Xenopus tropicalis: one gene and its partner. The protein of the gene in region 1 interacts with the protein of each later gene in a biochemical or structural test. Links are inferred from orthologs where the notes say so. Each region holds a gene or a part of one and is shown in the gene's direction. Other genes may lie near its edges.

Region 1 (6,661 bases):
ATTGCATATAATTAAAGAGATATCATGTATTGTATTGTATTGCACACCCATAATTCAAGGTAGCTGTCTGGGTATACTAGAATACTTAAGAAGTCGTCTGCAGAATAGATGATTTTTGTCTAATCAAAAACCAAAAATATGCATTAATTTAGATTTTTCATGGTAAACTGATTTGTAAATGTAGTCAAGTTGAAAGCAGGTTTTTGTTTATCCTTTTCTGTTCTTTGGGTCTGACTTTGACATATTTGGGGTATATTTTATCAAAGAGTAAAACTGTCTTGCCATAGTTCTTCACACACTTAATTTCAAAGGGATTTTTGAGGTGTTTTTATCAAATAGTGAACTCTTAATCTTACTTATAAAAGCTGCCAACAGACAGAGTTGGCAGTTTATCAGCCCATGTATGGGACCGTCAGATGGGCCTGTCTGACCGATATCCAGCTGAAGATTGGGCAGATGTTCATCAGACAGGTTTAATAATCCTGTTGGGGCAGGGGCACATTTGCTCATTGATGCAGTCCTCGCCCTGATGGCCTTCATCCCATCATTGTGATCTAATCATTTGGCCTGAGGGCTGATCGATCAGATCAATCCAGTATGGCCCACCTCAAGGTGAATCTTTCAGTGTATGGCCAACTTTACTTTAAATATTCCATAATAGAGAGCAGTAAATTTCCCTATGACGGACTGTGGTGAGCTCTCATTGAACTTATAAACATGCACCGATGCACTTGCTTTGCAAAATATAGCATATAAAGAAATGATTAAACAATATAAAAAAAAAAATAGTCATAGACAAAGCCCACCATGGTTTAATAAAATATAGTTTGTGCTAATAATTTTTTGTCAAGTAATTTCTGTGCAACGTCCAGTAGAGGGCAGTGTGCAGTTTCTTCTATCTGAAGGCAGTATGTATGTATAACTATTTATAAAGTGCCACAAGGATACGCATCGCTGTACAGTCTTACAGAATACAAAATTACACACGGGGAGGACAAATGATATAATAAATAAATACAATAAATATATATATATATATATATATATATATATATATATATATATATATATATATATATATATATATATATAAAGTGCCATGTGGTATGAGACACAGTAGGAAGGAGGTCCCTGCCCCGTAGAGCTTACAGTCTGAGTAGGCAGTAGGAATAGGCCAGTAGAACAATAATCTGGTTTGGTTTACTAGTCATGAGAAAGCTTTGTAAGGTTTGTCAGTATCTGGACCCCCCTTCTAATTAGTGGAATTGCCTATTTTAGCCATACCCATTGCCTACCCAGTAGGCACTCAGCCTGGTACTTAGCATTCAGTCACTTTAAGATGCCTTTTGTCTGTAGCAGGGAGTGGCTCAGAGGAGAAGCTAGTGAAAATAACAGCCAAGGTGGGAACTCTCAAAAGGAAGCAGCAAATGAGAGAATTTCTGGAACAAATTCCAAAGGATGACCATGATGACATTTTCACTGCTACACCATTCCAGACCAAGAGAGTGAAGGTAAGGGAAACACACTTTTGCTAATTAGCCTTATTCCTTATAACAGGTCAAAGGACAATGGCACTTAGTAAGTTATTGATTGTACAGACTCTGATTGTAGAAAGATTGATGGACTACAATAACAAAGCAGCATTGTTGTGCTTATTTAGGGTAGATTTATTAATGTTCAAGCAATCAATTACTGTAACCACATGCGAGTTCCTGAACACGTGTAGTTTATGTATTCAAATATCTCAGCTGCCTGATGATCATTTTTTTCTTCCCCCGAGCAGATTTTTAAAAAAAATAAAATAAAAAGCTCAGCAGGTTTTAGGTGCTGGGCTTTTTATTTATTTATTTTGAAAAAAATCTTATTGTAAACACTTTATTACTGCCAGTGATCTGCTTCCAACCATTTGAAGCATTGCTATCAAAATGACAGGGCTGCAGGTTCTTGCAAACTTTTGTAAGTACAGGTATAGGACCCATTATCCAGAATGCTCGGGACCAAGGGTATTCCGGATATGGGGTCTTTCCATAATTTGGATCTTCATACCTTAAGTCTACTAAAAAATCAATAAAACATTAATTAAACCCAATAGGATTGTTTTGCATCCAATAAGGATTATTTATATCTTAGTTGGGATCAATTACAAGGTTCTGTTTTATTATTACATAGAAAAAGGAAATCAGTTTTAAAATTCTGAATTATTTGATTAAAATGGAGTCTATGGGAGACGGGCTTTCCGTAATTCAGAGCTTTCTGGATAACTGGTTTCCGCATAAGGGATCCCATACCTGTACTAGAAAACACATTTTTTTCCCCTTAAGTCCCCACGCTCTATAACTTGTGATGCCGCAGCCTATGCAGCATTTGATTACCAAAGATATAGTTCAGCAACAAGAAATGTTCTTCCCATAAATCATCTATTGCTGACTCTGCATTATGTACTTTTTACACACAGTTGCCAACATTTAGAGCAAGTCATGAAGACGATGTCTTCCAGCTGACCAACACTGACCCAACAACACCTTCTTCAAGTATTTTTCCCTTGGCTTACACCCCCCAGTGTGAGCACATTAGCCCAGGAATGCTGGGGTCCATAAACAGGTAAGCTTTTAGATTCCATCTACCTTCACATGAGATTCACACTCTCCCAAACCACTGAATCATTTTCTCATGTTTTGTGTTCTTTATACAGGTCAAACAATGACAAATATGTGTACAGAATGCAGAAAAACACCAAAGGAGGTGCATTATCAGGATGGGGAAAATTAAATAAAAGACCTGTAAGTGTTTACATGTTCCCTTAAGTTTTAGTGTTCTTCTGGGTGAGATGATAAATGTTCTGCCTCCCACACTTAAGGTACGGTAAGCCTGTGGTGCTGGCCCCCTTTGGACCTATCATTAGCATGAAATGTGTTTGGGGGATGTAGGTGGCACAGACATCATTACTAGGAGTATATCACAAACCGGCATGTCTGGTGTGGGAAAATTATCCTCACTTGTTGGCATAATAAAAAGTGCATGCATACCCCTGGTCTCTAGACCTATTAGAACACAATGACACCTGTTTCAGTTCTTCTTTCTAGAGATTCCACATGTTGAACGAAGGTGTGCGCGGTACAGAAGTTGCTAAAAAGGCTTTGTATTGCTCATGTGCTGCCAAGCATGGCACAGGCTTTCCCTGGGAATAATAGATAAAATAGTGTCTCTGAACTCTGCAGAACTTACCTTAGGCCGTGCATTTTTTAGGAGTGCAAGACCAAGGAGCGAGGTTAGCAATACTTTTTATTTAATCTAAACCAGTGGCTCGAGAGCAACATGTTGCTCACCAGTCCCTTGGATGTTGCTCAAAACAGGTGCTTATTTTTGAATTCCTGGCTTTTGGGCAAGTCTTGGTTGCATAGTTGTACTGCCAAACAGAGCCTTATGTAGGCTGCCAATGGCTAATCAGAACCCCTATTTGTAACCCCAGGAACATGTTTCATGCTTGCGTTGCTCTCCAACTCTTTTTACATTTGAATGTGGCTCATAGGTAAAAAAAGGTTGGGGATCCCTGATCTAAACTTTACATTTTTCCCCATATTCAGGCTGGTACTTCATATGCCACTCCAGTTTCTCGACGGGCAACAACAGTGAGCAAAGGTACGTAAAGATTTGTTATATTGGTGCAGAGATTCATCCTAGGGTGCACAGTGTGTTAATAAGGCTGTGTTTATGCTTCATGATTATGTGCTTATTTTTGTCCCTATCAGACAAAGGCTGCAAAGATACATCAGTCATTGGAAAACTCTTTAGAACAGATGAACCAACAGTATCAGATGATGATGATGAAGAGGACGACTTTTATTTTTCTAACTCTCCATAGGCACAGTGACAATTTGAACCCTACTTTTCTTGTCAGGAACAAACTGCATTTTATTGCTGATCCTGCCTACTGGAACACTGTTGATTTCAGTAGCTACAAAAAAATGTTCTATCCTTTTAAAAGCAGCAACCATTGTACACATGTAAAATGTTCAGCTGGGATTTATCTAACAGTGTATGTTTTAGGAATAATTGTTGAATAAATTGGCAGCTATGGAATGAACTTCTGTTCCCTGTATATAAAAAAAAAATTATACATTTTAAAGTGTGCATAGTCATTTGTTCATTGTTTTACTTACCCTTAATCCCCAGTTTCCTGCACCTTTTGTCTAAATATATTTATCTATGCACATATCAGCAATTTCTTTAAGCTTCTGTTTTTTTTTTTTCCCTTTTTTAAATAAAAGTGTATTTTATTTATTCATATATACTGTTGGTTAAGGTTATCCCATAATATCAGGGGTCCCCAACCTTTCTTACTCTTGAGCCACAGTCAAATGTAAAAAGACTTGCAGAGCAACACAAGCATCATAAAAGTTCATGGAGGTGCCAAATAAGGGCTAAGATTGGCTATTAGGCAGCCTCTATGCACACTATCAGCTTACAGGGGGCTTTATTTGGTAGTAAATCTTGTTTTTATTCAACCAAAACTTGCCACCAAGTCAGGAATTGAAAAATAACAAGCATGCAGGTCAGATTCAAATGCAAACTACCTGAACAGTTATGTCTAGTTTCACTGGGTAAAATTTCATTCAACACTGTGTAACGTGCAGAATGATGGCCTTATTAAAGTAGATTCTAAATGAATTATAGCATTGAGTTAAAAACATGCACCAATTTTGAGTCGAGTGATGCATCTGCTGAGTTCTAAACACACTAACATTTCCACAGTTGTCAAACAAAGGCTTTGTGGTGGGTCACCTACCATGGGAACCTCAACTGAGCACCCAAGGGCGTCACTATATATACTTATCCTAGTCCAGCTTGTGGGTCTCGGTGGGAAAGGTCATAAATGCTGAAAGTTTAGTAAAAGTGTCAGCATTCAGGGGCAACTGCCACTTTTAGGCTGTGACAGTATGGAGGCGCCATGGTGCATTCCTAAAAACTTGCTGAGAACAGTCTGCCAAGTGCTGTGTGATATCTTCAATAGCAATAGATCAATGGTATTTGCCCATCCATGCGGATTGCTAATTTACACGTACCCATGGTTTGTAAACAATGAATAAGTTTCAACAGGTTACAACACCTTATTAAGTGCAGAAACTAAAGGTAAACTATATTATGTAAACTTAATATAAGGTTCATCTCATGAAAATAAACTTTTGAAATATAATCAAAAATGTTGCTATTCCTGATATATTCATTATCTCCCTCTCGGCAATCTGCTTTTCTTCATGCAGGAGTCAGGGTCAGATTTTAATTGACATTTAGGTCTAATGCAGCTTTTTGGGGGGGGGAATCATTTCTTCTACCAGATGTATTAGAGAAAAGTCTGGCTCTGACTTCTGCATGAAGAGAGACAGATACAGAATGGAATCTAGGGAAGATTATTACAGCAATAGTACAGCATTTTAAAGCATTATATTTAGAAAGCTTATTTCAAGTGAGCTGAAGCTTATATTTTCAATTTTGGGTTAGTTCCCCTTTAAAGGAAAAAGTGCTACCTAAACAAAGCAATACCTCCTGCCAGAGCTATGTCCCCCTACAAGTACAGAACAAGAGGAACCGCAGTGTCAGGAACCCACTGCTCCTTTAAAGGTGTTAGCACCACTTTATTGCCATTTATAAAAACTTACTTCCTGCTACAGGTATTGGACCCCTTATCCAGAAACCCATTATCCAGAAAGCTCCTAATTACGGAAAGCCCATCTCCCATAGACTCCATTTTAATCAAATAATTCAGAATTTTAAAACTGATTTCCTTTTTCTCTGTAATAATAAAACAGTACCTTGTACTTGATCCCAACTTAGATGTAAATAATCCTTATTGGATGCAAAACAATCCTGTTGGGGTTAATATTTTACTGATTTTTAGCAGACTTAAGGTATGGAGATCCAAATTACGGAAAGACCCCTTATCCGGAATACCCTTGGTCCTGAGCATTCTGGATAATGGGTCCTATACCTGTACTAACCAGCTTCCTGTGATTTCAGCTCCATTCAATTTGGGAAACAAAGGGGATTTTATTATAATATTCACTACACATAAGGACTATTTGGCTAAAGGATAATGATATTGATGACATTTTAGAACAAGTTGAATTACACACTAGCCCCCCCCCCCCCCCTACAACCGGATAAGGAAACACTTTCCAGTAATCATGGCTTTAGCGCTAACACTAACCCTTCAATGAGCATTGCAGATGATGTTGTTGATGCAACAATGTTATTTTCTAGTATTATTGGTCATTCTTAGGAACACGCTCATCCAAAAAGTTTTGCAATTGTGTTTTAAAAAATGTGATAATATATTGCATTCTACTGTCATCCTATCATGTAGAGCAGATTATTCGGTGTGTTAAGTGGTCATTAATTATCTAAATTTCTAGCTATTGTTTTATAGCCTGAGAAGACAATCTCTGGCTTATTCTCTTCTATCATCCATTAAGCACAACGATTTCTCTACAGAATCAAGGTGGGGGTGTTTTCAAACCACTGGCCACTTTCTACTACTACCGTGGTCTTATTCATGGGCTACAAGGAGCAAGTCTTGGGGCAAGTAGGTGGATCATGGCCCCATTCTACGTACATAGGTGGTAAGGCCCACCACCTAGGGGCTCCAGGCAAGCAGAGTGTAAAT
Region 2 (7,723 bases), on another chromosome or scaffold:
ATGAAAATCTTGGACCTCTGTATTCAGAATGCCTTTACAAATATAGCAGGAATCTCAGCCATAAAGTAAGAGACAACTGCTGTACCTTATTACACAATGTTTCGGGCACAAATACACAACACTTTTTGAAATTATTGTGTCTCTTTAGTTGAAACATAAATAAGAGAAATAGCAATAGCCTAAGGGGGAGACGGCACATACTCACATTTATTTGCTCTCGGTTCACTTTCATCGAAAGATGCGAAATCCTCATAATCGTAGTAGTCTTCGTAGGTGTAGGAAACGTTACCGGTGTCGGCCATCATTGCATTGTGAGCAGAGCTAGTGCCAGATATTACCAGCTGGGTGCAAGTGAGTATGAGTGACGGCTTAGCAGCTCCTATCATCTGGATAAGCACAAGCTGAATAAGCTGTTTTTTATTTTATCACCAGAGTATAGCAATCCGTCCCCTTACTTCTGGCTGCTTATTGGCTCTGCCCCAGGCCCCCAGTATGAATAGATAAGGATCTAAAGAAAACATGCAAGCTTAGCTCATTGAAGGACTGGGTGCGCTACAAATGCCTAGCAGAAGAAACAATAAAAAAGGGAAACAATATATCTTTTTAGTCTAAAAAGATTGAGTTTTGAACTTACCCAAGGTTAAGTGTTCGGCTGAGAGCGAAAGATTTGTCAAAATCTGACAAAAAGGGCTGGGATTTAATCTATTCAAACTCAAATCAACTTAAAGCATCACAGAGAGGAGAATGGTATAGAAGAGGCTTGGAAGATAGTGATGGGTGAATTGGTAATTCCAATGTGCTGCTTGCCACGTGGCACACCCAATCTGCTCCTAGAGACCATTTTAGTAACTGTGTCTGACCCAATGAACTGCATGGAGACAGGGGTTGGTATATATATTGCAAACTGGGAGAGACCCTGCTGTAAATCTGCCTATCACTTGCCCAAACATGCACCAGATTTTTGGTCAAAACCTACAGGTTTCAGGCCATTCCACCCATTATTTGTAGAAAATCACTTAAAAAACCCTAGTGAACACAAGGGTTGCCTGTATTTTACAGGCCCAGGCCAGCAGGAAAGCATTTTGTGTCTGCAGAATACCCCATGCAGCCTCCCTGGTTTCTGTTCTCAAGTTACCCTTGGTTATTACTGCCCTGGCCTTAAGAAAAGAGGCACCTATTTGGCTGTAAGAGCAGTTTATATCTATTTTGAAGCCCTTTTAGGGCTCCTACTCATGAGTATTTGTTCCTGTTATGGCATTCTCATGTGTTCCAATGCAGGAGAGTGCAGGAAGAGACGCATCCCATCACCACTGGACTGGGATTCAGAATAGGCCCTGGCATTTTAGGTACACAGAGGCCCAAACAGGCCCCCCCCCCCCCCACTAAATAGTGACTGTCTATGGCATCTTACAGCAGCCCCTCTGGCATTTGCCAGAATCCACAGATTGCCAGTCCGGGCCTGCATCCCATTCTTTCTAATGGGGCTGTATTAACACAGGTGCATGTAAGTGCCCAACGCAGGTGGAACGCAATATGGGTGGCTGGGAGTGGGGACAAAATGGGACGGGCCATGATGTAAATGGAGCATGACAAGGGATATGGATGCTGTCAAAAGGGGCAGAGCTATGATAACGACAGGTGGTTTAAAAGTAGAGTGGGGGGGGTGACAAAAGGTTGGTTTGGGTCACAAGCTTAGGTGGGTGGCACAGGGGCTAAATGTAGAGATATTACACATTTACCGGCAATGCACTGTTCCCGGCCTTGCCGGGTGTTTTACCGGCTATACTGGTAAAATACAAGCCAGGTGACAACCCTAGCTCAAGATCGCAGGTGTCACCCATCCTGATCGACAACCTGGGGGACCAATGAGACAGAAGTGGCTTCAAAAGGTAAACCTAAAGTTGTAATTTTTTTCTGGAAAAAATACTGACCTTCCTATATACTGTATTTGCTCTTTTTGCCTATTAATAATATTGGCATCAAGCATCATTTTTACAGGCCAGGTTGCAACCCTAGGTAAAGCTTGTCAGCTTGTCACTCCCAATATGGATGTGGGACGCTTTAAAGGAATACTGTAATGGGAAAATATATTTTTTTTCAAAACCCATCAGTTAATAGAGCTTCTCCAGTAGAATCCTGCATTGTAATCTGTTTTTTAAAAACACAAACAGATTTTTTATATTTAATTTTGAAATTTCCCATGGGGCTAGCCATACTCTTCATTTCCCAGGGTACCACAGCCATGTGACCTGTGCTCTGATAAACTTCAGTCACACTTTACGGTTGTGCTGCAAGTTGGAGTGATATCCCCCCCCTCCCCTTCCAGCAGGCGATCAGCAGAACAATGGGAAGGGAGCAAGATAGCAGCTCCCAGTAGGTATCAGAATAGCACTCAATAGTAAGAAATCCAAGTCCGGCTTGGGACTCCTCCAGTTACATGGGAGTAGGAGAAACAATAGGTTAGCTGAAAGCAGTTCTAATGTGTAGCGCTGGCTGAAAGCTCAGACTCAGGCACAAGGCACTGAGATGGCGCCTACACACCAATATTACAGCTACAAATACATTTGTTGGTTCAAGAATAAAAGTTTAAATGGCAGAGGGAATTATTTGCTATGTAAACAGTGTCATTTAGAAATAAAAAGTTCCCCATAAATATACTCCCAACAACATGAGGGAATCTTTTTTTTTTTACTCAGGTAAGTTTATTGAAGAGGTACATAACAGTGCATAGGTACAATGGTCATTTTCTTGGAAAACTTTTGTATGAGGGAATCTTTAATCATCACACAATATCTATGGGTTGGTCTTTGTGGGTATTTTTTATCAAACACCATAAAGAAACGTAAACGTCCGGGCAACTCCAGGAGACTATCCAATCAGAGCGCTGCTCGGTGCGCTACGTCATTTCCGGTTTGCGCTTGAATGGAAATGGCGGCAGATAAGAATGCGAGCCTAATGTCCGCCAATTGTACCTATGGGGGAGAAAATGAAAACGCGGGGAAGCTATCTAATTCACAGGATGATCCGCCGGTCGTGTTTCTTTGCAGCCATTGCAAGAGGCCGATAGGTGACACGTACAGCTGGATGGGCAGCGACATGGGGGAGCAGACAATACTACTGAAAGGTGCTGAATGGGGAAAATGGACCTTGGTTTTTATTATGCGGGGTTACTGGTTCTGCTGTTTCTATTGTGTGCAGTGTTAGCGCTCTGCCACTAGGCGTCGCTGTGCTACCATGTTCTATTAGTGTCCCTAATACTAGACCTGCAGCAGCAGCAGAAAGTCACCAAGTACCCCACTTTGTTTCTTTCTTTTGACCACACATTTAATTTAATATTTGACATTTTAACGCCCTACTAAGCATTGCAGAGAGTTCATTATAGGAGTTGCCTACCTGCACATTAAATGACAATGTTAATGATTTTAAAGTTATTTATTGCTGTAAAGCAAGTGGCTAAAATACGCTTGTCCTGACTGCTGGCTTTTTGGAGTTTTATATGGTTAGTCAGCTCTCCTCCATCCCGGCCTCCTGTTGCAAAATTGCCTTGTATATTCTGCCATTAGCAGACTGGAGAGGGTGAGCTCAGAAGCATGCAAGGCATTATGGGAACTTTTGGCTGGAGGAGAGATGGTTCTGCTACAGCAGGGGTAGGGATCCTATGGCTCGGGAGCCAGATGTGGCTCTTTTGATGGCTGCATCTGACTCTCGCTGCCAAATCTTTAATAAAAAAATAACGGAGGGTGTGGCCTGCGCTCGGCGGATAGAAGACGTGTTCTAAGGCTTAGAACGCGTCTTCTATCCGCCAAGCGTAGGCCATGTCCTCCTCCGCTTTGCATCCGGCATCCTTTGCACCCACCCTACCTTGCCCCTGCACTCGGCAGGTAGAAGAGTATTCTAAGCCTTAGAACACGTCTTCTATTCGCCGAGCGCAGGCCACGCCCTCCTCTGCACCGCATCCGGCATCCTTGGGATCCACCCTACCTTTCCCCGCAGCATCCGCGGTTAAACATATTGTATGGCTCTCACGGAATTACATTTTAAAACGTGGTGTTTATGGCTCTCTCAGCCAAAAAGGTTCCCGACCCCTGTGCTACATTGTTTCTGTAGTCAGGCAAGCAGTGCAGAGAATAGAAAAGGATTAAAGCTTTGCACTTCTCAGACAATATTGTGCTGATGTGTAATTGAAGGTGTGAGGGTTCATTAGTTGACACTATACATGTGTACAGAATTATTTGTGTCTATACAATCTGCAGGGAGCACTCAAACACTCCAGGGTGGCGTCTGTAAAATCTAGGGGCTGCATCTGATCTTAGAGGGGCTCCATGTGGGTATGCAATTTAAAGGAGACATATAGGATTAAAGGAACAGTAACACCAAAAAATGAAAGAGCTTTAAAGTAATAAAAATATAATGCACTGTTGCCCTGCACTGGTAAAACTGGTGTGTTTGCTACAGTAACACTACTATAATTTATATAATAAGCTGCTGTGTAGCCCCGGGGGCAGCCATTCAAGCTGGAAAAAAGGAGAAAAGGCACAGGTTACATAGCAGATAACAGATAAGCTCTGTAGAATACAATAGTGTTTTATCTGTTATCTGCTATGTGCCTGTGCCTTTTCTCCTTTGAATGGCTGCCCCCATGGCTACATAGCAGCTTATTTATATAAATTATAGACTTTCTGAAGTAAACACACAACTTTTACCAGTGCAGGGCAGCAGCACATTACATTTTAGTTACTTTTATACACTTTCATTTTTTGGTGTTACTGTTCCTTTAAAGCAAAGACAGGCTTCAGTTCCCTATCAGGTCAGCCTGGCTGCTGATTGGTTCCTGTCCTGCAGTGTACTGAGAGCTGCCGGCCCCCCCGCACAGCCTGGGAAAGGAGGCAGCAGAGGAACAGATGGGCGGGACTAATGGGGTTTTTAAAGAAATTTTTAGTAAATCAACTTGAAACACTACTTTTTAAAGTACATTCCTTCTATAGTTAATGAGTACAATTCATTGGCACAATATTGTTTTCCACGCAGTATGTCCCCTTTAACGACCGCTGAGTGTACCATGTGACCAGCATCATGTCCTGTTAAAGGTCTATTGGGACTTTTGATTTTTCTTTCCTTATTTTTAAAAACTGAATTGATCGGCATGTGGTTCTCTTGCAGCTGTATCTGAATACGTTTCGGTGGATAAAGTGCAGATCGTCTCGAAGGTTTCCAGTGACTATGGCTGGTAAGTATGTTGTTCTAGTGGCATTCCCATCCCCATGGAAACCAAGCAGGGCTATTCAGATTTTGATTGGCTGTAGGGCCTATCAGGTTGCGACTCCACCTAATGATGGAGCATTTATACCTGTTGTTATGGCTCCTGCTTCTCATTATCAGCCATTATTGTTGGCTTTACATGTCTTATATCCATTCCCTTTATTCATTTAGCCATGTGAATTACCCCTCCTGCGATGCCCACTCTGGGGCAGTTCTTTATGATTAATGGATATGTTACCCAGGATCTGCCTCCGTTCCCTACGCCCAACACTTGTTAGAGGCCAATTCTGACACTGACATTACAGTGTGTTAAATCCGTAAATCCTATTGCCCTGCAGCATGACTGAAACACTTTGTCCCTAGTCTCTTAAGGTGCTGAAGTCCCAGCTAGAAAATCACTTCAGTACTTGGATGTCTTCTCCTTATTGTATTAGATATGGCTGCCTTCCTGCCTCCTAATGCCCCTGGCTTTGGCCAACCCACTTACCCCTGAGCTGATAATTACATGGGCTTCAGTGTTTGTAAACAATACATCCCGCAGGGAATAACAGAGGAAATAGGAAGCAGATGTCCGTCAGTGTTCAGCGACAGGCAGACAGACATGATGTTTTTGGGGTAACTGAAGGGGTGCAGAACCCCCATATGAACTTTCTCTCCCTGCCCATGATCCCTGAGGCTCAAACCATCTTGATTGTGGGGTTAAGCACTATGTATGTTCCACACTGAAGGAGTAGGAGGCCTGAAAGCTATCGGAATCCAGATTGACCTTCGCCAAAAAAAGTTCTGGACACAGATCCTGCTAATTATCAGTTTCACTTTAAAGGGGGTCTAAACCCCAACAAATAAATGAATGTAAATTTACTCAGATTGCGCCTCTGTTCATTTCAGTCATTTTCTATTTGTAGTGGTTTCAGAGGTTTTAGCAGTTTTAGACGCTAATGCCGGGCTTTCATCCTCTTAGTACATTTGAAACCGTATCCTGTGGCGGCTGCTCCTCTGTCATGGGCAAGATCTACAGATGCACCCCCAAGCACCTCGACTTCAAACGGGATTTGTTCTCCCTTAATATCGATGCCGTTGACAGGTAAGAGACTCTCATGTAAGGGCAAGGTAATGGTACCTTCTCCACAGCTTACAGACAGCATGCAGGAACTACATAACCCACAATGCATTGCACTGTGATGTTCCTTTCCTTATTGACATCACGTGTGCAGGGGATTGTGGGATTGGGAGGAGGCAGGCTGAAGGCAGGCTGAGGGACAGGCGACTACTGTTACATTTTATTTGAGTCACAAAGTAGTCAGCCAGATCAGCAGGGGAACAGGGGGCGGGGCTTAGGGAACTGCTCCAAACCATATTATTACATTAAACATCATGAAAAGGCTGCGTATTTGTATGTATGTATATTTTTATTTATAAAGTGCTACTTATATACGCAGCGCTGTACAGTAGGATACATTCATACAAACAGGGGGTTAATAAGATAATAATAGATAAATACAAAGTATAACAATAAATACAAATAAATAAAAGATATAGTTGCAATAAGTTAAGAGTCAAAGACACAAGAGGATGGAGGTCCCTGCCCCGTAGAGCTTACAATCTATATTTTGTAATTAATTTATATTGCAAAGTTGCTTGAAATTGTTTACTTTTCAAAAGTTTAGGTTGTGTTTGGGTGCAGTTCCCCTTTAATGGGGATGACACTGTACAAAGCACACATAGTACTAAGCAGGGGTTTACAGACTTTTTGGTCAAGTTCCCTTTAAGTGCTCCCACCCCTTAGCTCATAACAAGGTTACAGGTATAGGAAAATGTTGGGGTAACCGTCATTTAAGTGTTCACCCCAAATCTCTCCTATATTATACAAACATAGGAATCGATAGATTTACTTTTCTCACCATTCTCCTCTTAATATGGGCGAGAACACATACGTTTACTTATTGTTGTGAGGGGTACCAACCCCTTTAAGTAAATGAAGCTGGGAGAGCTGAGAATAAAATTACTTATAATTACTCCTTGCTAATTGCAGCCTAGGCTTTCTCAGTATTAATAGAAAGTATATTAGTTATATCCTAGGCTCTGCAGACAAACAAGCGCTGTTGGAATATGAAGAACCCGTCACCCTGGGTGTCCGTGCAGCACTTGAGGAGGAAATTAAAAAGGTAAAGAATAAGGATGTATCTGGTGAAGGGGGGACCTTCTTACCTCCTGTTCCCCCCCCCCCCCCCACATACCCATGTCCTGCCTCAGCTTTCTGCCTTGTGCAGCTTCTCACTGGTACCGTGTAAATGTGCCCGTGCCATGTGACTAGAGCGCCACGTCACCTCCTTTATGAAATCTATGCCTAGAGCAGGGGTCCCCACATTTTTTTAGGGATGCACCAAATCCAGGATTCAGTTCAGGATTCGGACATGATTCAGCCTTTTTCTGCAGGATTTGGATTCAGCCAAATCCACGCTCC

Evidence for each region. The genes of interacting proteins can lie anywhere in the genome.
Region 2: the proteins of mis18bp1 (region 1) and mis18a form a complex in vitro, tested with the Homo sapiens proteins (2 studies listed by BioGRID). The link is inferred for Xenopus tropicalis from reciprocal best matches to the Homo sapiens genes MIS18BP1 and MIS18A.

Annotation. Positions count from the first base shown.
Region 1 is NC_030684.2:92,708,066-92,714,726, reverse strand, and holds the end of mis18bp1 (mis18-binding protein 1), read left to right. Parts: intron 1-1,356; coding exon 1,357-1,511; intron 1,512-2,455; coding exon 2,456-2,601; intron 2,602-2,692; coding exon 2,693-2,780; intron 2,781-3,584; coding exon 3,585-3,639; intron 3,640-3,749; coding exon 3,750-3,862; 3' UTR 3,863-4,287; downstream 4,288-6,661. UniProt on the Homo sapiens protein: Required for recruitment of CENPA to centromeres and normal chromosome segregation during mitosis.
Region 2 is NC_030678.2:15,374,196-15,381,918, forward strand, and holds the start of mis18a (protein Mis18-alpha), read left to right. Parts: upstream 1-2,866; 5' UTR 2,867-2,922; coding exon 2,923-3,124; intron 3,125-5,160; coding exon 5,161-5,227; intron 5,228-6,220; coding exon 6,221-6,343; intron 6,344-7,327; coding exon 7,328-7,424; intron 7,425-7,723. Other genes in the region: mrap (melanocortin-2 receptor accessory protein), read right to left, coding at 206-386. UniProt on the Homo sapiens protein: Required for recruitment of CENPA to centromeres and normal chromosome segregation during mitosis.